Linked DNA regions of Coturnix japonica. The protein of the gene in region 2 interacts with the protein of the main gene of each other region in a pairwise test. Links are inferred from orthologs where the notes say so. Each region holds a gene or a part of one and is shown on either strand. Other genes may lie near its edges.

Region 1 (12,794 bases), on a different chromosome or scaffold from region 2:
GACCATAAATCTGCTCCTCCGTTAAAACGTTTTCCAACCTGACCGCTCCAATGAGCTCCTGAAGGGTTTTCCGAACAGAGCCCGAACAAAACCGGGATTGTAAACGGGCTCCGAACGTCCCCCGCTCCGGGGATGTCCCCTCTCCGCACCGCGGAGCGTTGTCCCCAAACGGCGACAAGCAAATAAAAAGGCGATGAGAGACGCGGATGGGGGGGAGGGGGGAGCAACGGGCTGGCGGGGGGGGGCATCCTTCTATAACCACGCCCAGCTGACACAAATCAGGGCCGGGAAGAAATATGAAAGAGCGATATTTTATGAGATCGGCAGAAGTAATCGCTTCCAGATTTCTTCTTTTATTATTATTATTATTATTACTATTATTATTAATATGATTTTTCAGAGGAACCGGGCACAGGGCGACAAGCGATCGTCTCGCCATGCCCGATCTGCTTTTTGATTAGGAAGATTAAAACGCCGCTCCACTCATTTCATTAAAGAAAGGGACCTATAACAAGTTTTTATGAATTAAAACATCCCTCGCATGCTCGTTTTTTATCCAACCTCCCACTCTCCTTCCTCTTTCAGCAAGCCCGGAAAAGCGTCACCCTCACCGAGAGGCACCAGCCGGCCATGCCACTCCCCGACGGGGTTCCGCATATTGCTTTCCCTCGCCCCGCACTGCACGCTTTCACCATCCCGCACCCAAACAGCCTTTGATTCCCCCATTTCTCCTCGTTTTATTTTCTCTTCTATTTTATTTCTTTAAATTCGCCATTCCATAGAGGGCCGGGTTGGGGTTGAATTAGGGGGGGGTCTCTGCCTTTTTATTCACACTCAATTTTCACCATGCAGCATCTCCCACTCATTCATTTATCCCTCTATTTCTTCACCCCCTTCTTTCTTCCACACTCCCCCCATCACTTCTTTACCCCCCTATTAATTTATCTCCCTCTTCATTTACCTCCTACCCTATTAATGTCCCCCTATCAATCCACCCCTATCAATAACAACCCTTATCAACGTACCCCCATCCACATAACCCCCCTATCACTGCACCCCTCCTCTCTCTTTCTCTCTTCCACTTTTCACCCCAGCCCTTCTATCCCATTATCAACGTTATCAATTATGGATAAGAGGTTCTGTTGGATTTCACCCCTTCCCCTTTACCCCCCTCCACCCTGCAGCACTTCCCCACCTATAAACAACACGCATCTCTATGGCACATCTCCCCCCCCCAAACCCCTCGCCCCCAAGCGGACGGCAGCTGCCATCTCCTCTCATCCAAGCACCCACATTTCACCCCCCAACACACACACACACACACACACTCCTTCTTCTTCTTTTTTTTTTTTTTTAACATATCCTTCGATTGCCCCGGGGGCCATAAATTAGTACAATTCATTATCCCCATCTAAAAATGGATGCACGGAGAACCCTTACCTCAGCGCCTTTTATTATGGGCTGTGAAATAGGGCGGTGCGGGGGGGGGGGGGGGGAAGAAGGAAGCACCGAACCCCACTCCCCTCCACCCGTGGGCTTCCCGTGTTCTCCCCACGGCAAGAAAAAGACCATCTCCATACCGAGATAGATTATTATTTCTCCTTTTTCTTTTCTTTTTCAACACCCCCTTTTATTTATCCTTCCCCCTCCCGCAACCCCCCACCCCTCCCTTCTCCAACCCCCCCCCCTCCCCTTACAACCCCTCCACGTTCGGTATATTTACAGAGCTGCTCTACAATAGCCAACAGAACAAATATTACAGAACGGCCGTGAGACGAGAATGAAACACACAAATGGGTACAGCAGAAACGTTCACCACCGTGACAGGACATCATGGAGCCGCATTCCCTCCGGTCTCTTTGCTTTCTGTTTCCTCTCTCTCTCTCTTTTTTTTTTGTTGTTGTTTTTTTCCTCTTTGTTTGGGGTTTTTCTTTTTTTTTTTAATACAAAATATTTCGCTCGCGGAACCACGAAAGAAAAAAAAAAAAAAATACCGCATCCGTTTAACTTAGGAAATAAAATACTAAAAAAAAAAAGAAATATAATAATAATAAAAAGAAAATATTATTATTAATAATAAGAAATTCAAGTACTTCTTGGGGTTGTTTTTCCGAGGACACACACACCAAAAATAAAATACAAAAGGAAGGGGGGGGGGGGGGGGGGGGGGAGAAGAAAGGAAAACAGCCCCCCCCACCCCCTCCCACAACAGCATCTTTCTCCTTTATTCGGTTGCGTGTTAGAAAAGCCTCGAGTCCCAAAACGGCGTTTTCCTCTACAGCTAAACATCCATCCGCGCATCCAACGGCAGAATCACTTCAGACCCCCCCCACCCCCCCAAAAAAAATCAGCTTTTTTTTTGCCTTTTTTGCCTTATTTTGCCTTTTTTTTGTGTTATTTTTTCTCCTTTTTTTTTTTTTTTTTTTGCCTTTCTCTCTCTTTCTCTCTCCTTTTATTTTCCGCCCTCGTTTCTCTCCTCGCACGACATTCATTGCTGTTCCTTATCGCTTTTCTCTTTATTCATTTTCTTCATTTTCATTCGCCTGTTCTGAAACCAGATTTTGACTTGTCTCTCAGTGAGGTTGAGGAGTCTGGCCACTTCGTATCTACGGTCCCTCGTGAGGTACATATTGAATAAAAACTCTTTTTCCAGTTCCAGGGTCTGATACTTTGTATACGGACATCTTTTCTTCCTCGTAGAACGCGCATGAATCCAATTTGCGACGGGGTTGTCTGAGAAAGAAGATATTTTTTTCGGTGTGCGTTGTGTGTTTTGGAAGGGGGGGAGGTTGGGTGATGGGGGGGGGGTGTTACAAAGCAATGCAAACCGCTGCCTTTCTATATCCCCCCCCTCCCCACACACACACAACCTCCCCCCCAGGCCCACGTTAATGCTGAAAGAGACCTGCTTCATCAGCAGACCTCACCTAAATATATTCCGAGCGACCTTCGCTAGAGAGAGTTTAAGCTGTTTATTTTGGAGGGGCCATTTCCTTTCCTTTTGCCGCCGTTCTCACATTGAAAAGAAAGGGGGGGGGATAAAAGCAAATAAAGGAAAAGTTTCGGCGCATAAAACCCGCAGCGATGGGTTTTCAAATAATAATAATGATGACCCACCCGACTTGCTGCTCGCTGTAATCTAAGGACGTAGTCATAAAAAGTCAAAATTCCCACCATTTCATAGGCCCATAAACTCTTTTTACAGCCTCAGCTCTGCTCTGCTTTCCCTGGAAGCTCTGGAGGACCTGAAAAGTGCCGTTTATTTCTGCCATATCTCGGAGGTGACACCCGAGATGTCCCAGCGGCTCTTTCCTCGCCCCCAGGACCCCGCACGTTGCGGGGAGGAAAAGCTTTCCTCCCTTTCCGTGCCCGTTTCCCTTCGCTTTTCCTTTCCTTAACCTTCCAGCTAAAATCCATGCGTGTCGTCCCCCCCTCCCCGCCTTCCCATATCCCTGCTTTTACTTTTCCCCCTTCCGATTTTAATTGTATCGAGGGGTGATGGTGCTGAGGAGGTGGGGGGGTTGATAAACGGAGGTGTGAGTGCATTTCCACCTTCACTCCGAGCTCCGTAGGCACAAAGGTGCTGCCTGAGGCTGACAACCGGCTCGGCTCAAGGAAATCGCCTTTTTTCAACCCAAAGTTAGGCCGGGAGGTGCAGTCACACACGGAGCATCCTCTTGTCTTTCCCCTCTTCACCCCCCAGCCCCCCACCATCACAAACACACACAGACATCACCACCATCACCCCCAGACCCACAGCCCGGAGTCCTGCAGGGTTTGGGGCAGCGCCGGCTCCCCTCTATTGGGGATAGAGGTGCCGGGGGTTACCTGACCCTAACGCTGTCCATCTCCCCCCTACATACACACACATACACCGTGTTCAAGGTTTGCTGGGGGATGTTTTTTTTCCCCTCCCTCCCTCTCAGGAGCTGCAGAAGGTTCTTCAAGTGTATGGTCCAATGTCCTGATGTCCTGCGCCCGCTGCCCCGTGCCCCCCACCTCCCTCCCCACTCACTGGGTGCCATCTCTTCGCCAATTTTCCTCTTCTCTCCTTCCCCCTTCATCTCTCTCCCCCCTCCCTCCCTCGGGGGTACCCACCTTTTCCTTTATTCCCACGTGCTAAGGGTATTTTAGGAACAATTGCAAGGGTGCAGCAGCTCCTCTTGATTTTTCAGACAGATAAAAGAGCTTCCTCTTTTTTCTTTTTTCTTTTTTTTTTTTTTTTTATTTCATCCCCGTTTCCTTTCATCTAAAAGGCACCTCAGCAGTTCTTCCATCCCCTCCCAACCCCCCCAACCCCACCCCCTTAACAGCAACATGTTCCCCTCCATCCTGAGGGGGACACAGCTCCAACCCCGTCCTCCCGCGTTGGGAGTGGAAACCAGTGCAAAGAGAGGAGCTTTATCCCCCCTTTACCCCAACACACGCACTTCCCTCTGCCTTTCCTTCTTTAATTCATCTCCCCCTCCCAATTCCTACCCTCAGACCCCCTCAGCGGAAGGTGATGAACCCAAGCAACCCCCTCGCAAAGGAACAAATAAATGGAAATAATAATAAATAAATAATAATAATAATAGTAATAACGCTGATGATAAAATAAGCCGAAGAGCCCACGGATAAAAGTGCAGCTCTCCGCTGCCGGGCTGTGCGAGGCGGACTCTCAAACCCCCAGATCTTCCCGCATATCTGGAGTTTTAGGGTCGGGCTCTCTCTCCCTCTCTCTCTCTCTCTCTCTCTCTCTAAGGTAATTTCATTTTATTGAGTACGGTCCTGGAAGCTGTAATGCCTCCCCGGTTGTAAACAAGAATGACTTCGACTTACTAGGGTCTAATTCGTGCTTTTCTTCTTTGTGTTTGCTGGAAGCGATGGCTTCGGACTCCGGGGAAGGAATTGTCTGCGCTGCTCTGTCTCTCAGCTCCCCGGGAGCCGCGTACATGTAGTCCGCGAAGCCGCGCCCGTCCGCGGGGCCGCACTCCGCTCGTCTCCCGGCAAAGGCGTCGGGTTTGAGGCCGTAGGGGCGGGCGGCACCGGGAGCGAAGGCCGGGAACGAGACGGCCCCGGCGAGGGGCTCGAGCCAAGTCCTCATGTACCTGGGCTCGGCCCCCACGGGAGCTTGGGGGCCGTACGGGTGGTGGTAGCCCACGGACGACTGGGAATGGACGGGAGCCCAGGAGGTTGTAAAAACGGCCGGCTTGGGGGCGAAACTGCACGAAGGAAAGTCGGCACAGTCCGGGACTAATCCTGAAGGTCTGGCAGCAGCCGGGTGGGAGGCAGTGGTGGGGAACCTGGAGGCCAAGAGCTCTTCGTTTTCGTGGCTTATCAAGGAGTCTACATAGTAGTTGCTTATGGGGCCAGAAGCCGACATGGTTCCCCCTCTTTTACATTCATAAGATTATTGTATGAACTGTATGTGTACTTTTTATCTTCTCATAGAACAATCAGGGCAGGTAATTATTTTTTCAGCCTTTCCCAGTTTGCCATTGGCTGCCAGCCCTCACGTGATTGTATTTACCCAAAAATATAGCGTGGATCAATCCGCAGGTCTTTTTTTAATAGCGCCCGGGCGAACCGCTGCCCTTCGCTCAAAGCTCCGGAGCCGTCGGAGCGGGGGAGGCGGGGGCTGAGCAGCCCCGGGCCGGGCACAGCGGGGCCGGGGCCGGGGAGCTGGAAGGCAGCGGGGGAAGGGAGAGCAGGAACTATTTCCTGACGTAATTTGTCTCTGTCCTCCGATCCTGCGGCTTCTGGAGCTGCGAGAGACTGGAGGGAGGTGGGAGATGGGGAGGAAAGGGAAAGGGGGGAGAAGTGTCCCGGAGTTGGGGGTCCCGCAGCCCCTCGTTGGGGTTGGAGCGCTCAGCCCGATGGCACGTGGACCTTTTCTCATCGATATATATATATATTTTGCCTTATTATTATTATTTTTTAATATATTTTTCTCTCTCTTTTTTTTTTTTTTTTTTTTTTTTTTTTTTTTTTTTTTAAAGCGGCGATGTCTGAGAGATCTCGGATTGGGGGGGGGGGGAGGGGGAAGCACTTACAAGGATGTGAGGAGCGCCTCTGAAAAGAGGAAGGGGAAATCATAACACCACCAGCACCCAAAAAAAATAAGAAGAGGGGGAAGCGGGGGGGGGACGGACAGACAGACGGACAGACAGCAGCCCTGGAGCTGAAAGAGCCGCGTTCTTCGGTTAGAGAACGGCCGGCCGGGGATGTTTTTATGCCCTTCAATAAAATTTTTACGAGGATCGTTTGATTGTTCATAAACGTGTCGTTCGTTAAATAAAACTGCGAGGCTGAGAGTTCGTGCCGGGCTGACGGGGTTTGAAAGCGGCGGAGAGATGAGAGAAGAGCGGGGTGCTGAGCACGGCGCTGCGCTCCTATTTCTTGTGCTTCTCCGGGTTTCATTTCTGAGTGCGGTGTTGTTGTTGGGTTGTTTGTTTGGGAGGATATTTTTGCTGCTTTTTTTCCCCCCATTCGGTTAATAAAAAGAAAAGAAAGCAAACAACTCGGGGATGCCCTGACTGCGTGTTGGGAGGATAAGCTTTCCTTTGTAAGCATAGACAGGTAGGTACGTGGCTTACGCCCATTGGGGGTTGAAAGAATGGAGTTGGGCGATTTCTCTGCAAAGAAAGAAAGAGAAAGGAAATATATCCACCAAAAAAAAAAAAAAGGATCCCTCTTTCTCTCTTTCTTTCCTCTTCTTTTTCTTTTTACTTTTTCCTTTTTTTTTTTTTTTTTTTTTTTTTTTTTTTTTGTTTTTTTTTTCCTTCACATGTTGGTCATTCCTGACTTCTTTCCCTTTTTATAAGGAATCCAAACAACACACACACACACAAAATCATAAGCCTGATTGTCCGGGCTCCCCAGGGCTATTAATCACCTCGGGTTTTATAGGGCTTGGGGTGACGCGGTGGGGAAAGAGAAGGAAACGGGCAACGTTTGCAAGAGGAAGAAAAAGTGGGGGGATCAGAGAGATGCGGTGGTCCCCGTCCCCCTGTCCCCCCCCCCAGGGACAGAGAGACACCGGGAGGGCAGAGTGTCCCCAATTGTGCGGCGTTGCCCAGCGCGGATCCCACGCACCCCCGGGACAGAATCGCATTCCATTTCTCGCTCTTTCCTTTTCTCAGCAAGTCTAAAAGGGAGAGGGGGGGAGAAATCAGAGCGTGAGTGAAGCCAGCAGATCCGGAGACAGACAGGAGGGGAGTGGGGCTGCCAGGAGAGTCCAACCGGACCCCCCCAAAGTCACGAACCTCAGCTGAACCAACACTAAACGCTGCCCTTCACTGCATCGCGCTGCCCCTGGAAGTGGGGTTTCCCCCTCGGAGAACACAAGGAAGGCTCGGAAACAAAACCCCGACGGGAGGGATGTTTGGGGAGGGATTCGTGGTTTGCCAAATTCGAGGAGGAAAGTCATCCACTCGCTCAGCCGCAGAATTTATCCCTTGTTCCGTTCCGAGCCCCCTGCTTTATGGGAGCCCTTAAAGGGAAATATTCCTGCGGGAGCAGACTGTCTTCTTTGGCCTTTATCGAGACCAATTTATCTGTCAATCACAGCTCTCCAATGACGGTTACTTTTATGTTGGCAAGGAAAGAAAAAAAAAAACACAACCGTATCTATATACAAGTATATCTGTGCTCATCGTTCTTTGATCTATTCCCATTTTAAAACAGAGTTACGGTGCGAAGGTGCTGAGATGCAGGGAGTGACGTGAAAGCAGCCTGGCTTTCCCAAATTGGTGGCATATCTGGGCGAATCCTTACAAAGAAGGGTTGTGTGTATGTGCAGAAGGGGAGAGAGGGGAAGAGAAAGAGGCAGAGGGAGAAGGAGAGAGAAAGGGCTGAGCACGGAGGGGGGAGAGGAGCTCTGAGACTCAGTGGGGACGTTTTCCAGGGGAGAAATATGTCAGAATATACCACAGACGAACCGCAAAACGAGCAGAAATTACCCAAGCAGCGCAACCCTTAATGAGGAGCAGCAGTTTTTGGAGCCTTCATTCGAGCAGGCAAGGTCACGGAATGAGTCGTGGATGGGGAGTTTTGGTGGTGGCACACAAAGGCGAACATATCTTGGTGAAGATTTCTTTTATTTACACGGGAACCTCCATTGCACGGAGCGTTTCGCTCCCCGCATCGCCGTGGGCTCCCTCACACGCTCCCACACCCGCAAACACACGCGTGAAACGATCGCGATTGCAGTACAAACACCCCCCATCCGTTCGGGGATTGCACCGAGCAGTGCGAGGAGGAGATGGAGACACTTCACCTTACAGCAAACTACAGACGCGGGGTTAACGCAGCCTCCTCTCCCCCCTCTGTGCTGCGGAATCCCAAAGCACGAACTCGAACCCCCCGCAAAACACTCCATCCTCTCTCCTCTCGATCCGAAGCCATCCCTCGTGGCTGAGCTCAAAGTTACGAGAATCAAAGTCCGCTCAGAGCAGCGGGATCCCGAGCATTCCTCCTGGCCAGAAGCACGAGCAAAGATCCGCACCGCATTTGCAGCACGCTTTGCCATCGCATTCGGCTCCTGCAAGGTTATATCTCGCAGCGTTTGTGCTCCGCAAAAGCTCCGATTTCCCTCTTGGAGGGGAGATGATCGCTTCTCGAAATGACGGTGAACCACCGGGTCCCTTTCCGGGTAGACTCACAGCTTTGCCTCTCTCACCTCCTCTTTTCAATCTGCAGGGGGAAGGAACTTGGTGGCACGGAGCAAAACTAACGCTAGCAGCCCACGAGCCGTAGGAATCCTATCTGATATTTCTTTTATTTCCCGGTGGAGGAAGGAAAAATGGATTAAGAAAGAGTCTCTCCTGGCAAATGAGGAGGTTATAGAAGACGAAGCCTTTGTCTGAGCCATTGACTTCTGACACCTTTTCGGGGCTGAATGCTCCTTGCCATGTCCGCCCGCTCCCGGGCAATGCTGTGTGCTCAGCGCAGTGCATCCTTTTCCTCTCCCTTCCAAACCTTTTTGCTTTCGCTTTGAGCGATTCTTCCCTGATTGGAAGGAGAGGAGACCAAAAGAATATATATATATATATATAATAATCCTAATAAAATAAAAGCCAGAAGAGGGGAGGGAGAATAAAACCCTATTGGAGAGCTTACAGCGATGAGGTGACACTGATTTCTTGGATTTTCTTGCTTTTAAATTATCTCTTTTTTTTTTTTCTTGTGGGGGGGTGGTGGAGGGGGGAGGTTGGGAGGGTGGAAAAGTGGTGGTGGGGAAAAGAGATCCCGCAGCCCCCAGCAACAGAGTGTCGGCGGGGGGAGTGCTGGAGCTGCAGGCCCGGCTTCCCCGCAGCTGCATCCCGCAGGGGCCGAGCGTTGCTCGCCCGTTCAGGGCAACGAGGAGCTTGAACGCCGGGGGCTGCGCTGGGGGCCGAGCGGGCACCGACAGGCGGACGGACACACGGGAGGATGGACAGACAGACAGACAAATGGAGCCTCCGAGCAGACACACACAGACACAGAGACACAGATACATGAACGGGGTGACAGGGGGGGGCGGAGGTTGGGGAGTGCCGGGGGGAGAGAAAGGAGGTGAAGGAAAAAAAAAAGAGCTCAGCCTCATCCCCCCCGTGGTTTCAATTAACCACATGTCAAGGTCGGAATAAACAAAAAAAAATCGCTGGTTTCTCGCCGCTCCGACCACCCATTCCCACCCCCCCGTCCCTTAATCTCCCCCCCCCCCCCCCCCCCCCCCCCCAGAACACCTCGGCCGTGCGGAGCTGGGAAGGGCGGTGCTGAGCTCCGATCGCTCCGTGCGAGAAAGCGAAGTCAGCTGCAGCCAACTTCCCTCTGCATCTCAGCCCTCAGCAGCTCCGAAGTTCCCTTCTTCCCCCCGCTTTGTCCTTTCCCCACTCCCTTCCTCTTCACTTCTGCCAGACCAAGTTCTTTCTCTCTTTCTTTTGTTCCTTTTCTGCTATTAAAAAAAATAAATAAATAAAGGGGAGGGGGGGGGTGGATCGCACACAATAGACAGCGTGAATCCAAAGCAGACTCTCTGAAGAGGCCAGCAAAAATATTTCTTGGTCCTCCAGATGCCTCTATTTATTCCAGGATTGTCTTTTAAAGTAAATAAATATGGGGAAAGATTAATTTCAGGCCAGATACCACCCGTTCTTCCTGCTGCAGAGTAACTGCAGGCTCCGGGCTCTGCCTCTCCCACTCTCCCCCCCTTCTATGCCCCCCTCCCCCCCCTCCCCCCCCGCTAAATTCTTCGGCTATTCGAAAATCATATTTATTCAGCCCTCCTTACGAGATCTCACAGAGGAAAAGCTCTTCGGGCCAACAACAGAGAGGAGGAACTCGCTCTCTTATCGCCTCACACCGACGCGAAAACCTCAAATCCGACCCAACGTGAGAGACGGAGACATTCAGCTCTCGCTTCAAACCCCACTGCAGGAGTTTTCTACCTGCTTAAGTGCTTCCCCCCTCCACCAACCCCCCCCCCCACCCCCCCTCTGTCTGTTGCTAAGAATTCCTGTCTCTCCAGTGTTGGAGGTACGGGTAATAGACAATAAATTCCGAGGTGCAATTAAAGCTCTGAACAATTTCTTTAAGTGTGCCACGGTGCCCTTTATTTTTCCCCCCCAAATTTCAGGTCTCCCCCAGATGAAGCCGTCTCTGCAGATGTTCCCGAGCAGCAGCGAAGCCTCACGCTGAGGCATTCCAGGTTAGCTCGGTTTTGGGTGTGATAATGCAATGCGGGTCAAGGGAAGGGGAAAAAAAATCCCCAGCGAAGAAAATGAAAAGAAGAGCGAGAAAACAAGCCTGAACCCAGAGAGGCGAACTGTATACCGCCTGGAGAAACATATTTCTATCCTTCTCCCTTTACATTTATTATGTTTCTGTCAGACACCCTGTAATTAGCATAGATAACTATAGTTGCAAGCTCCAAGTTGTGTCTGCAGATCCTATTGTCTGGCTGCTCCGGTTGCACACCAGAGAGCTTGGAAGCGAGCACAAGGTGTTAGGAAGAGCCTGGTGCCCTCAAATAAGACAATAACCCCACGAAATTCACGGGGTGGGGGGGATGAAGGGGAGGAGAACGGTGCCGCTTTAGGCGATGGATTCCAACCCGAGCTGCACCGCGATCTCTTTGGCCTGGCGAGAGCATCTCCAGCTCAACCCAGTCCCAAACCTGCCCGCAACCCGAGGCTTGAAATAAAGGAGCTGGGGGCAATGTCCCGTCTGCTGCTTGCCCCCACCCCTCCCTCCGAGCTGCTGTTTGCACGGCCCGTACCTATGCAAATCCCGAGCCAGACAGCCAGACACCTTCCGACAACAACCTTGAGCGGGGACATTTGCTGTCGGGGACGCCTCTCCCACCCCCCCTCACCCCCCCATCAGCCCCAGTTATTTTGCAGCGGGTGCATCTCGCTGGGAAGCGCTGGGACTTCAAGACCCATCGTGCAACCCCCCCATTAAAAAAAAAGCATCCAGCGGAGCAAATATAGACGTAAAGCGGGAGAGTGGGCGCTTCCCCCCCACACCCCCCACCTTTATTTATCATTCATTTCTGTTTGCATTGGAAGGGGAGGAAACCAAAGCACAGCCCGGTCCCTGCTGTTAAAAAAAGGAAAGCTGATCAGCTCAGCCCCATCTCCCCACAGCCCCCACCTCAACCCCCAACCCCGGATCCATCTCTTCGCACGGGGTGATGCTTCGTAAAACCACCCCAAAGTCATTCCCAGCAGCAAGAGGGATAAAAGTTGATCCGCAGGCTCTGCTCTCGTACACACACACACACATAGGAGAGCAAAAAAGCCTCCGGGTTTTAAAATTCCACCTGCTGGGAGACGAGCATTAGACGGGAAAATATGACGCAACGTAGCATATCGTAACATCTCTGATATTTCACCCCGATAACGGCATCAGAAATAGCACGAGCATTAAGCAGCAAAGCCGGCGGTATTTCGCGGGGAGAGAGATGAAGGCGAACAGCATGGAGCCTTTTTGACTACCCATGTTTTTTACATAAAAACAACTAAGCCGGGTAGAACCGCACCAAACAGTCGGAGTGATAAATCCCCCCCCTCCCCTCCCGTCTTTCTTCCTGATCTAATATCATAATTAAAAAACCATAGGGGAGATTTTTAACTTTTATTGCGTTTCTGGAGTTGGGTCGCTAAACATATATTAACTTTACGTTCTTCTCTTTCTCGCCATGGGGGTGGTCGCTCCGAAATAAAATCAATCTTAATATACAGAGAATAGATATTGTTTGGTGTCTTGCACGCTGTTAGAAGGAAGGGAAGGAAATCTGCAGACACTCAACGCAGAGAAGGCAAACTCATCATACGTGTAATGAATCCTTTAAATAATTCAATTATCACAGCGCTAATATCAAATAATTACGGTTACAAAGCACCAGTAATCAACATCGTCCCTGTTGAAAAATTAATTTGCAGTATTGTATACGAGTTTCTTCCGCTTTTTTCCTCCTTCCCTTACCCTTCTTTTCTTTTCCCAACTCGCTCATTATGTTTTTCCGCTCTGCTGTATTCGACCTGCAAGGAAAACAGCCGCGCTCCGTCCAACATCGCATTCAACCAAACCAGCAGCTATTTCTTTTTTCACACTTAAAACACAACATATTGAACACAGCGGACAAAGGAAAAGCGATGTCTTTGCAAAGCGACGCTTCAAGGGACGCATTTCCCTCGTTGCAATGGGTTTTATACCGCGGACTTTGTCTCTCCTGGCTGACAACGCTCGGACCGACCCATGTCCCGAGCAATGGGACAACGCTATTCCTGCCATCGAAATACACATCTCGCCTAGAAACTCGCTAA
Region 2 (15,775 bases):
GTTGTCCCTTCCCCTTCCCTTTGCTTTCTTGCCAAACGATCTGCCCCATGATGCTGTCGGCACTTCTCTCCTCATGCCTCCTCTCTCTCCTGTCCTCTCCGCTTCGCCAATAGACGAATGGTTCTCCAGAGGTGAGTGTGCTCTTGATTTTAATTTTTCCTTGGTGAAAATGATTGGGTGCCTTTCTGAGCTCTTTGTTCCCTGCAGCTGGCCTCGTGCTGCCTGCAATGTGACTAATGTCCTCGGTGGCATGTAGCTTCTGCTCACCTCTGGGCTTGTTCTTGTAGCAAGTGGCAAAAAGCTGCTGGGCTGATGTGGATGGGAAAATGAGATGTCTTATGCCTCTGTGCTTGCCCTTTAAAGGTAAGAAGCTCCCCGAAGACCCTAGTGCAGATACAGTGGATTTTCCCAAAAGAACAACTCCAGCCAAAGGTATGTTGTCTAGCGCACTCAGGACTCTGATGCTTAGGGCTGCCTTCCCACAAGCAGTCTGGGAATGGCATGCATAGCTTTTTGTTTTCTCACTGAAAAGAGCCTCCTAAATGGGCAGAGGTTTGACTTGAAAGTAGTTTGTTTCTGGTTGCCCAGGCTCACAAGCTCTGCTGCAGGCAGCCCTGAGGAGGCCTGCTGGTCTTGGTGGATGTGAGCGCTACCTCAAGACAGGCTTGTTGTGGCTGCAGAGGGAGCTGTTGCTCTTGGAGCTGAGGGACAGCGTGGTGGCACAGCCCTGCAAAGAGGCCCCTTCTGCTGTGTTTTTAAACTTGTTGGTGTCCTGCCTGCTCTTCTCTCCTGGACACAGAGGATGGGCAGGATTTTAAACTAAAATGCCCTGCCTAGAGGAGTGTTGTGTAGTATGAATTTGAGGAAGGGGAATTCCAAGGCAGGCATCTTACCTGATTCCAAGGATTCCAACCTTGAGGGCAGCAAATCACAGCCCCTCTGTGGCCAGCTGAGCAGCAGCTATTGGCCATGGGGTTTAGTTCAGCTACTTTTGCCCCCAAAACACTGTATTCTGAAGTCTGAAATAGATGTCTGGGCTGATTATCTGGGGTTTCTGTTGCTGAGGGACAGCTTGTCCTACTGTGTACCAAAAAGCAGACAGTGCCTAGCAGTGCTCCTCCGAGCATGTCTGTTGCTTGGTCTTGGGTACTGGCAGAGGTTATAAGTTCTTCCTCCCTGTGTCTCTCTGGCAGGCTATGAGCTCCTCTTCCAGCCAGAAGTGATCCGGATATACATCTCCCTGTTAAAAGAAAGCAAGACTCCAGCCATCCTAGAGGCTTCAGCAGGAGCAATTCAGAATCTGTGTGCTGGCAGTTGGACGGTGAGTGCCTTGTAGAGCTGGACACGTTGGTGTTCATCAGTGTTTAAGGGAAAGGGGATCATCACTTTTTGGTGTCAACAGAGCTGTAAAGTGTCAAAGCTCTGGCATTCCAGGCTGTTGCACTTTATGTGGCTTGCTATTAAGAAGAGAGAATTCAGCAGCACCACTCAAATGTGGACCACATCTCTCCTTTGCTGTTGAGGGTTCTTTGCTTTCTATCAGCCGTTTCTTTCCAAGGGCTGCATGTGTCTCTGTCTGCAGCCTGTTCTCTGACACTTCTTCCCTTCTGCAGTCTGGAAGAAGGGAGTGTATGTTTGGGCCCGCTCTGTAGTCCTACTGTGCCTTTGCTCTGTGTTCTCTTTCTGTGTATGGAAAGATCAAACAAAGTCATGCTTACCTGGCTGACACAGGGGCTTTGACACCTGTGAATCAGTCCTCTCCCATTCACAGGCATTGCCTGAGGTTACTTGGAGATGGTTCTCTCCCTATGGGCATACTTAGGGCACTTGGTTTCTGAGGTGGGTGGGTGTTAAAGCTCCCAGTAATACACCCACATTCAGGAGCAAGGTGAAGCTGTGTGTGCCTGTGTTCCACCCTGGTGTTCTGCTCTCCCTGCAGTATGGCCGGTACATCCGCTCGGCTCTCCGCCAGGAGAAGGGACTCTCTGCCATTGCTGACCTCCTGACCCATGACAGTGAACGTGTAGTGAAAGCAGCATCCGGAGCTCTCCGCAACCTGGCTGTTGACTTGCGTAACAAAGAGCTGATAGGTGAGAGCTGCAGACATACCTCATATCTATCTGGCTTAACACTTCCTCTAGACTGAGTGGCTGAGGACATGCGTGGGCACAGTGGCTGTGCAGGGGATGTCTTGTTCACTTCCCAGAAAAACATACAGTGGGCTCCTTGGGAGATAAATCAGAACTGGGGACCAGTCTCTGATCCTTTTCTTTGCTCACTCATGCCTGACTATTTGCCCTTATTAGGTAAACATGCCATCCCCAACCTAGTGAAGAACCTGCCTGGAGGCCAGCAGACTCCAGCCAAAAACCTCTCTGAGGATACAGTCGTGTCCATCCTCAACACCATCAACGAAGTCATTGTAGACAACCTTGAGGCTGCCAAGAAGTTGCGGGAAACGCAGGGGATTGAGAAGTTGGTGCTGATCAACAAAACTGGGTAGGCTCTGCTTTGAAGGGTAGTGAGGGGCTTTTCCCAAGGCTGCTTTGAGTCTGTGGACATTGTCCAACATCTCTTGCTTTACTGCTTTCTAGGAACCGCTCAGAGAGAGAAGTTCGAGCAGCTGCCCTCGTCTTGCAGACAGTCTGGGGATATAAAGAGCTGCGGAAACCCTTGGAGAAGGAAGGCTGGAAGAAATCAGATTTCCAGGTATGGGGAATGGTGAAGTACCCTGTTGCAGCTTGGGTCCTGCTGCATGAAGAAAGTGCTCCAGGAACTCAACAGTGTTTGATTTCAGCTCTTACTGCTGTCACTAGAGACCCTTGAAGGTGTCCCCTCTGCCACTTCTCAGTGGGTGGATAGGTAGCAGTGGAGCAGAAATGCTCTGCAAAGTATGCAGCCTTGAACATCAGATCTACCAACAGGGAAAGTCTGTAGCACTAAAGCCATTGTGGCAGTGCTGAGGAGGGGAGGGGAAAAAAGAAGGTCGTCCAGTATTTGCTTCCTTTCCTAAAAGCTGCAGCTGCCTCTTCAAGGCTGGGTGCTGCTCTGACCCAGCCTAGGTAGACTACCTCCACCCTTTATTGTGGGTACACCCAAGGATTTGGGGTGTCTTCAGGTCCTTTGCTCCAAGGGCTGTGGGAGGGAAGCCCTGCTGGGGCTGCCGTGTGCTTGGTGTATGGAGTATGAGTGGTTGCTGTCTTGTGCTCCAGGTGAACCTCAGCAATGCCTCTCGGACACAAGGGGGAAACTCATTTGATGACAGCACCTTGCCTCTCATCGACAGGAACCAAAAAACAGGTATGTGCCCACCCTCCCTTTGGTGCTTGTCCCCATTTTAACTTGTGGATACCTGTGTTCCCTCTGTACTTTTCACCCCCAGCTTCCTTGGGTTCCCCAGGGGCTCATGCAACACCATCAACCTAGGGAGTTTTTTTTCTCAAGGCTGTAAAGGTTGCTCAGAGTTTACATAGGTCCTATAGTATCCTTGGGCCAGCAGTGCTGAGGCTGGAGCTCCACCTGTGCTTATCCAGCAGTGAATCCACTGCTGCTCTTGGCTGCAGAGGATATGTCTGATCTGTTTTCTCATCCTTGTAGACAAGAAATCCTCCCGGGAGGAGATCCAGATGAGCAACATGGGACCAGGTAGGAAAGGGACTGGAGGAAGGGCATCTTCACTGATGTGCTGGGAACACCTTGCCTCCGATGGGGAGGATGCTGGCTCACAGAAAGGCAGCATGACTGATGGTCTGCTGTCTTCCTCCAGACAACTATTCCACACTTAATGAGATGGACCACAGCAGGACACTGGACCGATCTGGTGATCTTAGAGACACGGAGCCAGTGAAGGCAGCACCGCTGATGGTGAGCAGCTTTTCTTAATGCAACTTAAGTGGGCGGAGGTGCAGGGAATGACACTTGGAGAACTGGGCTTCTGTGACTAACCCCCGCCTGCTCCTCGGCCCTACTAACCCCGTGTGTCTGCAGCAGGAGGAGGGGCAGGAATCCCAGCCCGAGGCAGAGGAAGATTCTGCTGTGTTTTCCCCTGTGTCGGTATGTCCTGCAGCACCCTGTCCAATGTGATGAGCGGTGGCAAATCCTGCTGTGCTGTTGGGGTGCTTTAGGCAGTCAAATCATGCTCTGATCGCTGCTGTCTGCAATCACCATCTGATCCACGGGGGCTGTAAATGTATCTTCACCGATGGTTCCTGCTCTGGATGTGCTAACATTTCTCCCCCTCTCTCTCCACAGCAGAAGATTTAAGCTGCTATTCCTGCCTCCGCTCAATTTGGTTGATAATATATTTTATATATATAAATATATATAACTCTTCGTGGTGGAATGGACCCAATTTTTTTTCAACTCTTTTTTTTTTTTTCGCTGGACTGTTAGTGCCAACTCGCCAGCCAAATGACTGGGCCTGGTCCCACAGGAGGCAGCCCAGGCCGCTCTGCCTCCTCTCAGTGGCTGCACCTCCCTGTTCTGGGACAACTATCAATAACTCTTCCTCCCTGTCCTCCACCACTTCCCTTCCTTCAGAGAGGAGGCCCTCCTGCCTGACTGCCTGCCACAACTGGCAAGAATGCTGCAAAACAATTCCAGACCTCTGCCTTGACCAGGAACTGCCTTCTCTGCCGCGCCTTCCTTCTGCTCGGAGTCTACTGCGGGGACAGGGACCAAGACCTTACTTGCCACCTTCCTTTGTTGCCTATAGGATATTTTTCTGTGTGTGGGATCACTCTTCAGCTGAGGCTGCAGGGACAAGAGCATCCCTCCCTGGTGGCAGCGGGACTGGGGTGCGAAGGAGGCTGGAGTCACGGGGGTGTTGGTGGAAAGGAGAAGCAGCAATAACTCTTCTTGCTTTGATCTACGTGAGGCTTTGGGGGTGTGGGAAGAGGGATCTATCTTAACTCTGACTGTTTGGCCTGATTCTGGATCCTGCCAGGGAGAACGGGGGGTCTGGATGGGGCAGTTGAAAAGAGGAGGGATCCTTATGTAGGGAGAGGGTCTGCGTGGTGTGGTGGGACAGGCCTCTGCCCTGGGGTGATCCTTCCCTGGGGGAGGAGGAGAAGCAGCAGGGCTTTTGGGGCCGGCTTTCTTTGGGAACTGGCTGAAGTAGCGGTGGGTCTTTGAGGGCATGCGCAGCAGGTAGGGCCTGGATCCCATCCACCCCCGTGCACCAGCTGCCCGTGGCAGTGCCCCCTCAGACTTCTCTTGACATGTGCCTTTCTTTTGCCACTGTGAAATAGCTCTTTGAATTGTACTGTCTGGCTTCGCTATGGGAAGCGGTGTAACAGGCTCCTGGTGGGGCTGAGCTGGAAGCCCAGCGGGGGAGGATCCCAGCCCTGCTGCCTTTGGCTGCCACTACTGAATAAGGGCAGGGCTCTCCCCTCCTGTCCTGGAGCATCTCTGTGGTGGTGGGGCCGTGTTTGGTGCTGTGATCTTTGGGGTGAACAGGGGGAGGCTTTTAGGCTCCCTGTGCAACTGGAACCTCCTTGCAAGGCTGCAAACTGGAGAACGGAGCCCTCCCCAGTACACACACTTGTGCCTCGCTCTTCCAGCTCCAGCCACACCTCAGCTCCGTTTGGTTTTGTTCTGGGGTCTAACTTCTCTCTTTCCTTTCAATACGTAAAACACTAATTCCTTTTAATTTTTTAATTCCAGATGAACCAAAAAAAAAAAAACCCACCACACAAACAAAACACCAACCACAAAACCAAGCTTCCCCCTTCCCTCCTCTCCTGTGCAGGGCAGGGGAGCTGGCTGCAGGGTGAGGGTGGAGGGGGCAGGAGCACCCCGCTGTTCCTTGTCTGATTCCTGTGCACACTCTTGTAACGCTTTTCAAACAAAATGATTTTTTTATATAAATAAAGTTTTTAAAGTGTGACCTTTTGTTGGCGCGTGTTGGACATGAGGCTGATGCCTCTCCTATCTTAGCCTTACAGCTAAGCACAGTGGTTTGCCACTGGGGCTGGTGTCTGCTGAGACAGTAATGGGAGGAGTTGAAGTGTGATGTAGCACTGGGATGGTGTTTATTTATTTGCCCAAGTTAAGAAATAACAAACTCTAAGAAATACAGTAATTTCTTTATCTGGCAACAACAGAGAAGTGGCCGGGGGAAACCTGCTCAAGTGAAAGCTGCGGCTTTGTGGGTGCGATGCCAAGGCTGTGGGGTATGAAAGGAGCAATGCTGTGGTTGTGGAGGGGTGGGACCGGAGGTGGTGTTTGCTGCAGCTGGGGATGCTGAGGGATAAAACCCGAGGGGTTTGGGGCTCAGCAGGGCAGTGCTCGTGGTGCTGCTGCCAGGGAAGCCAAGCAGAGCAGCAGCTCCTAGCAGCATGAAGCCTGGAGCTCAAAGGAAGAGCTTGTCGTGGCAGGGCTGGCAGTACATCTTGTCCCCGCGCTCACGGAAGGTGCCTTTGTGCAGCTGGCCCAGGCAGTACGAGCAGATGAAGTGCTCGGGGTGGTACTTGCGCCCGGCGGCTGTGATGCAGCGGCCGGTGATGGGGCGCCCGCAGCCGTGGCACACGCTGCCCTGCCGCTGGTGGAAGTGCAGCTCGCAGTAGGGCCGGCCCTCCAGCTCGAAGAAGGAGCCGTTGGTGAAGCTGCTCATGCAGTCCTGCAGGGGAGAGTCATAAGGTTGGTAAAGACATCTAAGATCATCTAGTCCTGCTGTCAACCCACACATGTTCAGACATCCCCAATGCCACATCTATGTGTTGAACATCTCCAGGGATGGCGATTCCACCACCTCCCTGGGCAGCCTGTGCCAGTGCTGCACCACTTTCTGAGAAGGAATGTTTCCTAATAGCCAGCATGAACCTCCCTGCTGCAATTTGAGGCTGCTCCCTCTCATCTTCTCAATGTTACCCTAGAGAAGAGGCCAACCCCTACCTCCCCACTACATCCTTTCAGGTCAGTGTAGAGCAATAAGGTCTCCCCTGAATCTCCTCCAGACTGAATGAGTATTCAAAGGGAGAAGGCTGCCGTGGCTTTGAGATGTGCCAGCCCTGCACCCCTCTGACTCACTGCGCAGACGAAGCACTCGGGATGCCAGACGCCCTGCAGGGCTGACAGGTAGTTGTCGGTCAGTGGCCGCTCGCAGCCCTGGCACTTGGGGGCAAAGAGGACCACGAAGTCCTGGAAGCAGTAGGGTTTCCCACCGCGCTCATGGAAACCTGCAGAGAAGGCAGTGAGATGGGAACTGGGCTACGGGAGGGCTGGGATGGAGATGCAGGTGCCAGGCTGGGTTATGTGGTGTGGAGTAGGGGATGTCCCCATGAGACAAACCTTCATCTCCAAACACCTTCCCGCAGTGGGCACAGAAGAAGTGCTCGGGGTGCCAGGTCTGGTCCATGGCGGTGAGGACTCTCTGTGGGCACAGGAGAGGTGAGGCACTGGGTACAGGGACAAAGAGGTGGGCAGGGCTGTGCTTACCTCGCGGATGGGGCCAGCACAGTAGGCACAGCGTGGGGAGAAGGCCTGGTGGTAATCCTCCTCACAGTACGCCTGCCCCCCACGCTCAAAGAAGGGCTGCCCGCCCAGCTCCTGCCCACAGCGGGCACAGGTGAAGTGCTCGGGGTGCCAGGTTTCACCTAGTGCAGTGAACATCTGCGGGACAGGGATGAGTGAGGGACGTGGAGGCTGCTGTGAACCCCAGGCCCCCACCCCGTGGCTCACCTTGCCGGCGATGGGCTTGTGGCAGGCGGCACAGACGGCAGCAGGAGCAGCAGTGATGCCCAGCTCCTGCAGGTCCCGCGTCAGGCCACCCAGCATGTGGTCCAGAGAGTGCTCAGGGCCCACTGGAGCTCCAGCTCCTTGCCCCACTGCTGCCAGCTGCGGGGATGGGGGTGAGTGAGGGACTGGCTCCACCCTGCTCTGTGCTGCCTGCCCCTGGATGCAGCTCACCTTGCTTTGCATCTGGCCCAGGTCAGCCAGCAGCTCATCCAGCTGCCGGGCGGCCGCTGTGGGTTCAGGCGAAGCAGACAGAGGTTGTGGGGTCGGCACAGGGCTGCTGGGCACAGCAGAGAGCAATAGGTGCTGCAGTTTCAGCCTTGAGACTGAGGAGCACATAGGACAGAGCATCTTCACCCTCAAAATGCTGCTCTTTCCCCACGAGCTGTGGTAGGAGACAGGGGCTCTCCATGGGGACAATGCTGGAAGCCCACCCCTCACCCTGGCAGTGGGCACAGCAGGATGTGACCCCTCACCCCAGCTCGCAGAAGGACCTGGTTTTGGTGGGGACACTGAGGAAGCCAAGTGAGCCTGTCTGAACTAAGGAAGGGGTAACCCCGACGGCTCTGCCATCTCATGGCTGTATTTTACCTGTACACGGTTTCCAAACGTTTGCCTGCAGGCTGAGACCGAGGTGGCAGTGGCACCTGAAAGGACAAATCCCTGTGGCTGAGCTCCCGGCACCCTGCAGCATCCCACCCCTGTCATGGGATGAGCAGGGCTGCAGTGCGAGCCCCGTTCCCAGGCCCTGGGCATTACCTTCGGGGCTGTCGAGGCAAGAGGCTTCTGGCTGCCTGGGGCTGGGGGTTTGCCTGGAGGTGCATCCTGCTGCCTGGTGCTCGCTGTCAGCAACGTGCAGTTGGTGGGGGCCGGCTGGGAGCTCTGCTCCAGCTCTGCCAGCAACGCATCTGCATGGAGAGATGCGAATAAGGAACCCACTGCCCATCTCCGTGCCCCAGGCAGAAGCTGTTTCCAGTTTATGCAGGAACATCAATCACCCTGAAGTTTCTCCGAGCACAAGCCCTGGCACAGGAAGGCTCAGCCTTGATGCTTCCTGTGCCCCAGGGCGGTGGGATCCTTACAGAAGATCAAGTCCTTTCTCCTTCTACTTTAAGCTCCCCACCCTCATGGTAAGACATGGTGATGGGCACCCCTTGCTGAGCAGCTGCCCCATCTCCCTGCCTGGGGTGAGGGCAGCCCTGCTCACGGTGCTGCCTTTCTCAGCAGGCTGCTGGGCCCCACAGCGCACAGACACACTGCACCGTCACCGCTGCCCGCTTCCTGCCCTGCAGCACGCTCCATTTTTGGCAGAGCCCAACCGCCCGTCTGTCCCCGAGATGGAGGAGCAGATGCTGCCCCCTGTGCTCCAACCCCACCTGCCCCAGCCAAGCACAGCAGCACCCGCAGTGAACTCGGCCACAGGCCCAGCTCAGCCTTCCCAGCACCACAGGGACCCATCTTACCCAGATCCTCCATGCCGCCTGTGCAGCGCAGTGCGAGCAGCCGGGTGCACCGCGCTCAGTTCCGCTCCCAGCGCTGCCTCCACCCCTGAAAGCAGCGCCCAGCGCTGGGTGCTTCCTTTGTGGGCTGTGCATCGTGTGCAACGAGTGATGGGGCCACAAAGGGAACGAACTGAGCAATGGCTGACCAAGGGTGTCACATCCCTGCAGCACCGCCTGCATCCAGCCCGGTGTTTGGAACAGGCCATTGGGCTCAGCAATGCACGAGGCCCTTCTGTCCCAGGCTGAGGCACCACGGTTTGGTTATGACACGCCATATGGTGACAGCACTGCCGGTACCATCCCATAGTGAGAGCACTCAGCCAGGCCCCGCAGTGTGTCAGGGTGACGGATACAAGAGGTTCCCAAAGGCAACATCACAGTATCACAGTCTGGTGCGGGTTGGAAGGGACCTTAGAGATCATCGAGTCCAACCCCCGGGATTCGAGCCCCTGTGTAGCAGAGCGGCACTTCTACCACTTGCGCCACAGGGGGGATTCGAACCCAGGGCCTCCGGTGTCGCAAGGCGGCATTCCTACCACTGCGCCACGGGGCACACAAGATGGCGGCGCTCCGTCCCATTGAGCTCTATGCTGGGAGCTGTACCAGCCATCGCCCTCAGAGCCACTTCCGGCTCAGCCGCACCCGCCGCACTACAACTCCCATCATGCCGAGCGCATGCGCGGAGCCCCGCCGGAAGTGGGCGGAGCTCGGCGCGCTGTCCCCGCCCCCCTTGCGCCGGCCGCCATTTTGTCACCGACTTTCACCCGCCGCCCGACGGGGCGTTTTTTTTTTTCTTAAAGGAGAAGCGACAGCCCCGCAGCGGGGCCGGGCCGCACCGAGCCGGGCCGAGCCGTGCCGAGCCGAGCCGAGCCGGCACACAGCGCCGCATCCCGGCTGCACACAGCGGCCACACGGCACACCAAGCAGGGCACACTGCACCATCCCGACCAACGGGACTCGGGGGCGGCCGGAGGGGCGCGGGGAGCGGCGGCGGTAGGAAGGAGCGGACGGGAGGCGGCGGGAGCGGGAGTGCGGCCGGGCGGGCGGAGTGAACGGCGGAGTGTAACGGGACTTGGAGCGGGAGCGCACGGAGCGGGGCAGGCCGGAGTGAGGGGGGGGAGGTGGAGGCGGGAGACCGAGCGCGGCTGAGCTTGCGCGGGGAGGCGAGCGCCGATTGGCCGCGCGGCTGCTCGGGGGCGGGTCTTGCCGCAACTCGGGCGTCTATTGGCTGGTGGGCGCGCGAGCGGCGGAGAAAGGCGGGAGGGCCGCGGGTCGGTGGCCGCCCGCTGATTGGTCGGAGCCGGGAAGGGGCGGGGCGCGGGGGGCCCGCGTGAAAACGGATACCGGGCTGTGATTGGGCGAGAGCGCGGGGCGGGGCGGGGCCAGCGGAGCGGGGCGGGCGGGAGCGGCGCCCAGACGCGGCACCTCCGTCTGCCGCCCCGATGCCGGCGGGCACCGAGCAGCCGGACGGAGCCGAGCAGCAACCGGAGCAGCAGCAAGAGCAGGAGGGGCAGCCGGAGCTGCAGGAACAGCCCGCACGGAGCCCGTCTCCCGCGGCAGAGAAGCCCCCGCCGCCATCGGGACGCCGCCGCCCGACTGCGGCCACCGCCGAGCAGGGGGAGGAGAGCGGCGGCGGCGGCCGGGTGCTGAGGGGCGGCCGGGAGCGGGGCCGGGCCGCAGGGGGAACCGCCGCCTCCCGGCGCCGTAAGGCTGAGTACCCGCGGAGACGGAGGAGCAGCCCCGGGGCACGGCCCGGCAACGAGCTGCACGATGCGGGGACAACGACCGCAGCCAGGAGGGCAGCGCCACGAGCAGGGTGAGTGCGGACATGGCCGTACCGTGACACCGCCGGCCCCGCTGGGAGCTGCCTCTTATGCCCGGCTTTTGTCTCCCCAGGTGCACGGATAAAGCGTCCGGCAGAGGTAAGAGCCGCGTGTCTCCGCTGTGCTGTGTGATGGAGCTGCTTTAGGAGGAAGCCCTGTGTGTGTATGGGGCGTGCAGCTCCATTCCAAGGTGTATCAGGGCTGTGGAAGTACCCACCGTGCAGGAACTTTGTTCTCCCAATTAACCACCAGGGTATCTCTGTGCCGGCCCCGAGCAGCTGCTGGCACAGCTGGGCTCACATCTGTGCTGGGCTGTTCTGAATAGAGGTGTGGGTTTGCAGGTGGATGTGCAGCTATTGATCTTCTCTGGAGTCCCAGTGTGTAGCAGTAGTGAATGGTGTGCACTGCTGCTCCCTTAGGGATCATAGTGCACTGAGCACAGAGCCCATGTGTGTGTATGTGCTTAGTGCTCGTGGTGTATGTGAGGAGCCCCTGGATTTGGGCAGGTGAAGTGCTGTGTGTTGTTTCCAAAGATCCATCTGTGTGGGTCTGATGGAGTGATTGTGGAAGAGTAAAGTCAAAGCTGTGGTGTGCCAGGGTGTGTGTGTGGTTGTTGCCCATGTGCATGAGGGCAGCTGTGTTTCCTGGCTGCTTAGTCATGCAATTGCAATATTTCCCTAATGTGTTTCTATAGAAATATTACTTTCAGAAGGGGAACGTATAATCTCAGCTTCAAAACGGACTTGTATAGCTGTGCAGTGTGTGCCACGTTGGGTGCTCTGTGACAGCGTGGGCTCTTGTGGGAATAATTCTCACTTTTGTTAGGCCTGAATAACTTTAATTATTGGAACGTATGTTTAATGAATGCATTTCATGGCCTTCTATTACCAAACTGAGAGCTGAGTGCTTCCTGTGGTTCTTTGAGCCGTGGCAGCAGTTGGTGGTACCCACCGGTTCTGTGATAGAGATGCTTTCTTTGGTTGGGTATCCCTGTGTGTTGTGCTCCAAGGACATCATTACACCAGGGTGTGCTTATTCCCAAGGCTGCCATGAGCTGTGATGGCCCACGTGTTGAGTGAGGATGGATGGTCCTGGGGTAAGCTCCTCCCCAGAGCATTTTCACTTGCTTCTCCAAGCCATGACAGCAGAGCTCTATCTCTGCATCTGGCTGCCTCTCAGCTTTCCCTCCTGTCGCTGTCTAATGTTTTCTTGAGGGATCATATCGTGGAAGGATGGTTGTTGCCTACTGAAGTGAAGGTCCGTTGTTAATCTGCGTGTTTTCCACCCTAGATGCTGTTAGTTGAAAGTTGGGGAGGATCAGAGTGGTGAAAGCACCTCAGCATAGAACTGCTTGTCACAGAGTTACTGTTTAAGGGGAGTTCAACAGAGCCTGATGATCTGTAATAGCAACATGCATTCCATTTATCTCACTTCTTGCTCTAATTACCCAAATCCTGTTAACTGAGGAGCACGTGGCTTTCTGCTCAGGTACATGGGGGGGAGGAGAGGGGTTTCACCAGGTTAAGTGTGGTGTCCAAGACGGGACTGGAAACAGCAAGGTTAATTATTGCAAGGTATCATCAGTCAAGGGAGCAGCTCTTACTGTGTTTTCTCAGAGGCACAGAAGTATTCACAGCATGTATAAAAAAGCAACAAATCTGCCAGACAGTGCTGAAGTGGGGGTGAAAGTGACACAGGAAAAGGCTCATTCACACCTTCACTTAGAGAAGTGGAGCAAAATTGCTGGGTCTGTGGTGTGCTTCATAGGAACGAGTTCTGATGGGGGCCGGTTTCAACTCTGTATTTGTAATGTAGAAAATATGGGCTCTGAATAAGAAATCAGCCAAATTCCAGATCTGCTGAGGGGATAAACATCTTTTGAGGGCAGCAGTTGGTGTGTAGAGTGGTGGTGCTCTGTGGGAAGGATGCTAGAGAATGGTTTCCAGGTGTATGAATTTGATTTAGTGTTCAAAAAAACTAAGGATTTTCAGAATTAGGGTTAAAAACATAAAGCAAATGTAGTTGGTGCTGAGATCCACGCAACCAGGAAGGCAGAAAGAAGGCATAGTTCGTGTTTTGTAATGAAGGTGGCTTTGTGTATGTAAAACATCAGATTTGGTTGCTGTTTTGAGGCCTCATATCCTGTATTCCAATCAGATTTATCAGTCAAAGGTTGGTCACTCCAACTGTTAATGAGGGACTGAGGATGGGGCCCCAAACGAGCACCGTACCAGAAGTTCTATCTCAAAGGTTTGGTGGAAAATGAGGGAAGAGCAGAGGGGGCAGGGGACCTCAGGGGGCCTCTGGGCCCTGCTGAGTGTGGGTTCAGTGTGGAGCTCATGTTTTGAAGCCCTCTGGGGATGCACAGCAGCACGGCTTTGGCATCCAGCCCTACTCCCTGTGCCTGGCTGCCCTCTGGGGAGGGCCACACAGCCATGCAAATGGATGTCAGTGAGAAGGAGTGTCTCAGAGCTGAGCCTGGAGCTCAGGCCCCGTGCCAGTGTGCTAATGCAGTGACAGAGCTGGAGCACAGAGCCCGGCCAGCTCCTTGGGATGGATTCCTTTAGCACATCGTTTGTGAAATGTCAGAAAGCATTTGAGTGTGTTAAGGCCCGGTGTTCCACCAACCACCAGGAAGTGAGATCAGGTGAACTGCACTTGGAATTTTAATTTTTAAAGAGATGAACTTGCTCGCATACACGTTTTAGTTGGTTCTGTTCTCCTGCCAAAACCTATATGGAGGTCGGCCATCAGCTAAAGAGGAACCACCTGTAGAAGCAATAAATGAGTGCACAGGCCTCCGGGTGGCAGTGCTTGTGATAATTTTTGCTCTAGCACAAGACTAGAAACAACCAGCTTGGGTTCCTCAGGATTGTTATCCAGGGTCCCCTTTGGATTGGGCATGTCTTTAGGGGGTTCTCCAAACATGACTTGAAATATGGGTCGGTTTTGAAGCTGGTCTTAGATTAACAGTGAGATTTAATGGTGTTTCAGATCCCAAAGAAGAGAAAGAGGAGGAGGAGGTTTCTCCTGCCCTCAACCAGGGCTCTCCAGTCAGCACAGCCCGGCCCAGCAGGAGCTGGCGCAGCAGCAGATCAGCCACTGCCACCCGCCAGCGTGAAGCCGAGAACTCACGTGCCTCCAGGTCCAAGACTGGCTCCCTGCAGCTCGTCTGCAAGTCGGAACCCAACTCTGACCAGCTGGAATACGGTATGTGGGAAGCACTGGTGTGAAGTGCCTGAAGAGAGGTAACTTGTGGGAACCTCTGAAGGGAGCTGTGTGTGGGTGTCACTCAGTGAGCTGTGTGCTGACTGTGGCTGCTCCAGGCGTGGTGCTGCTTTGTCACAGGTACCTTCTGCCACCAGCACTCCTGGCGCTGAATGTCGGCGGAGGTATCTTGAGACAGATGAGCTCACTGCAGCGAACACAGATTGAAACCTAATGGTGACTTTTCCTTTCAGAGGTCACAGATGAGCATCGGTCTCCAGCTGGAATCAGGTAGGAAACTTTTTCTGGGACAGTTCTTTGCATTTAGTGTCAAGAAAACACCATATGTGAACAGTTTCTCAAATGCTTGTGACATGGTCTGTGAGAGTGATGGCAGCTGTGTTCCCACGCAGTCCTGGCCCTTCGCATTTTCAGCTTGGATTGCTGATGGGCTGCAGGTGTCAGGAGATATTGGAGAATTGGGCTTGGTCAGCATGGGCCTTTCAGCTGGAAGCCTTGTTCCTTCTGCAGCCGATGCTGTAGTTGGGTGGGTTCTCAATAGGACGCTGCTCTGCCTAGTTGTGCTTCTTAGTGCAAACAAGGGATGAGAACTGCTGCATGTCTTTCCCATCCTATGGGGAACTGCATGATTATTCTTGCAGTAGTGCTTCAGTTGTCACTGCATAACTCCTTTGTTCTCCTTTTCTCCTGTCAGTGATGATGAGGAGGAGATCCTTGCCAGTGAGGAAGAAGTTCCCTTCAAAGATGATCCAAGAGATGAAACCTACAAGCCCCATCTCGAAAAGTATGATAGATTACCTACTTAACTGTGTCTTTAGGTTAAAGAAGCAACTGTGACCTCTTAGTTGAACTAGCTTAATGTGACCCAGACAAACCATGCCGGTTGCTGACATGTAGTGGCTCCCATCGGGTGTAGTGTTCTCCTCATCTCCCACACCTCTTGGGAACGTTTTCTCTCTGGTGGTCTGAAGCTTTTAGAGCCCTGTCAGCAGCCAGGTGCATCTTTAGACCTCCATTCCGCTTTGTTTAGAAGTGGGATTTGATTAAAACATGAAGTCCTATCCAGGTTTTGCCTAACTGTAAAGAGTGGACAGTGCTTTTTAAAGAGTATGGAAGGACAGGAAGCTCTTGGTGCTAATTTAGTGGAAACCCAGTCACAGCAAGCCAGGGGTATAGAGGCTCAGAGGAAGACAGAGGCATGGGGGTATCGTTAAATAGATACCACTTAACGTTGGAGTGATAGATTGTATTTGTGTCTTTGTAGGGAAGCTCCAAAGCAAAGGAGAAAAGCTGGCAAGGGAAAAGAAGAAAAAGAGAAACAGAAGGAGATTAAAGTAGAGGTAAAAGAAGAGAGTGAGTTTCGGGAAGATGAAGAGCCACCAAGGAAGTGAGTAAAATTCTGCAATTATCTGTACCAGCGTGTACAGTGTATTACACATTCTTGCTAACAACAAAAACACTGTTGTATGCTGTTTTTCCCCTCTGGGC

What was found.
Region 1: the proteins of LPXN (region 2) and HOXC9 interact in binary tests that used the Homo sapiens proteins (3 or more experiments, as listed by UniProt). The two-hybrid records come from large-scale screens. The link is inferred for Coturnix japonica from reciprocal best matches to the Homo sapiens genes LPXN and HOXC9.

Annotation. Positions count from the first base shown.
Region 1 is NW_015439867.1:139,450-152,243, forward strand, and holds HOXC9 (homeobox protein Hox-C9), read right to left. Parts: upstream 5,649-12,794; 5' UTR 5,366-5,648; coding exon 4,822-5,365; intron 2,734-4,821; coding exon 2,489-2,733; 3' UTR 2,419-2,488; downstream 1-2,418. UniProt on the Homo sapiens protein: Sequence-specific transcription factor which is part of a developmental regulatory system that provides cells with specific positional identities on the anterior-posterior axis.
Region 2 is NC_029520.1:7,834,602-7,850,376, forward strand, and holds LPXN (leupaxin), read right to left. Parts: upstream 9,895-15,775; 5' UTR 9,816-9,894; coding exon 9,773-9,815; intron 9,682-9,772; exon of another isoform or gene 9,211-9,681; coding exon of another isoform or gene 9,198-9,210; intron 8,643-9,197; coding exon 8,494-8,642; intron 8,382-8,493; coding exon 8,326-8,381; intron 8,015-8,325; coding exon 7,909-8,014; intron 7,837-7,908; coding exon 7,681-7,836; intron 7,612-7,680; coding exon 7,438-7,611; intron 7,373-7,437; coding exon 7,291-7,372; intron 7,179-7,290; coding exon 7,030-7,178; intron 6,620-7,029; coding exon 6,353-6,619; 3' UTR 6,009-6,352; downstream 1-6,008. Other genes in the region: CTNND1 (catenin delta-1), read left to right, coding at 114-131, 364-432, 1,194-1,321, 1,940-2,090, 2,307-2,499, 2,595-2,709, 3,213-3,300, 3,598-3,645 and 3 more; E3 ubiquitin-protein ligase ZFP91, read left to right, coding at 10,679-11,052, 11,133-11,158, 14,054-14,269, 14,521-14,557, 14,982-15,071, 15,552-15,674. UniProt on the Homo sapiens protein: Transcriptional coactivator for androgen receptor (AR) and serum response factor (SRF). Contributes to the regulation of cell adhesion, spreading and cell migration and acts as a negative regulator in integrin-mediated cell adhesion events.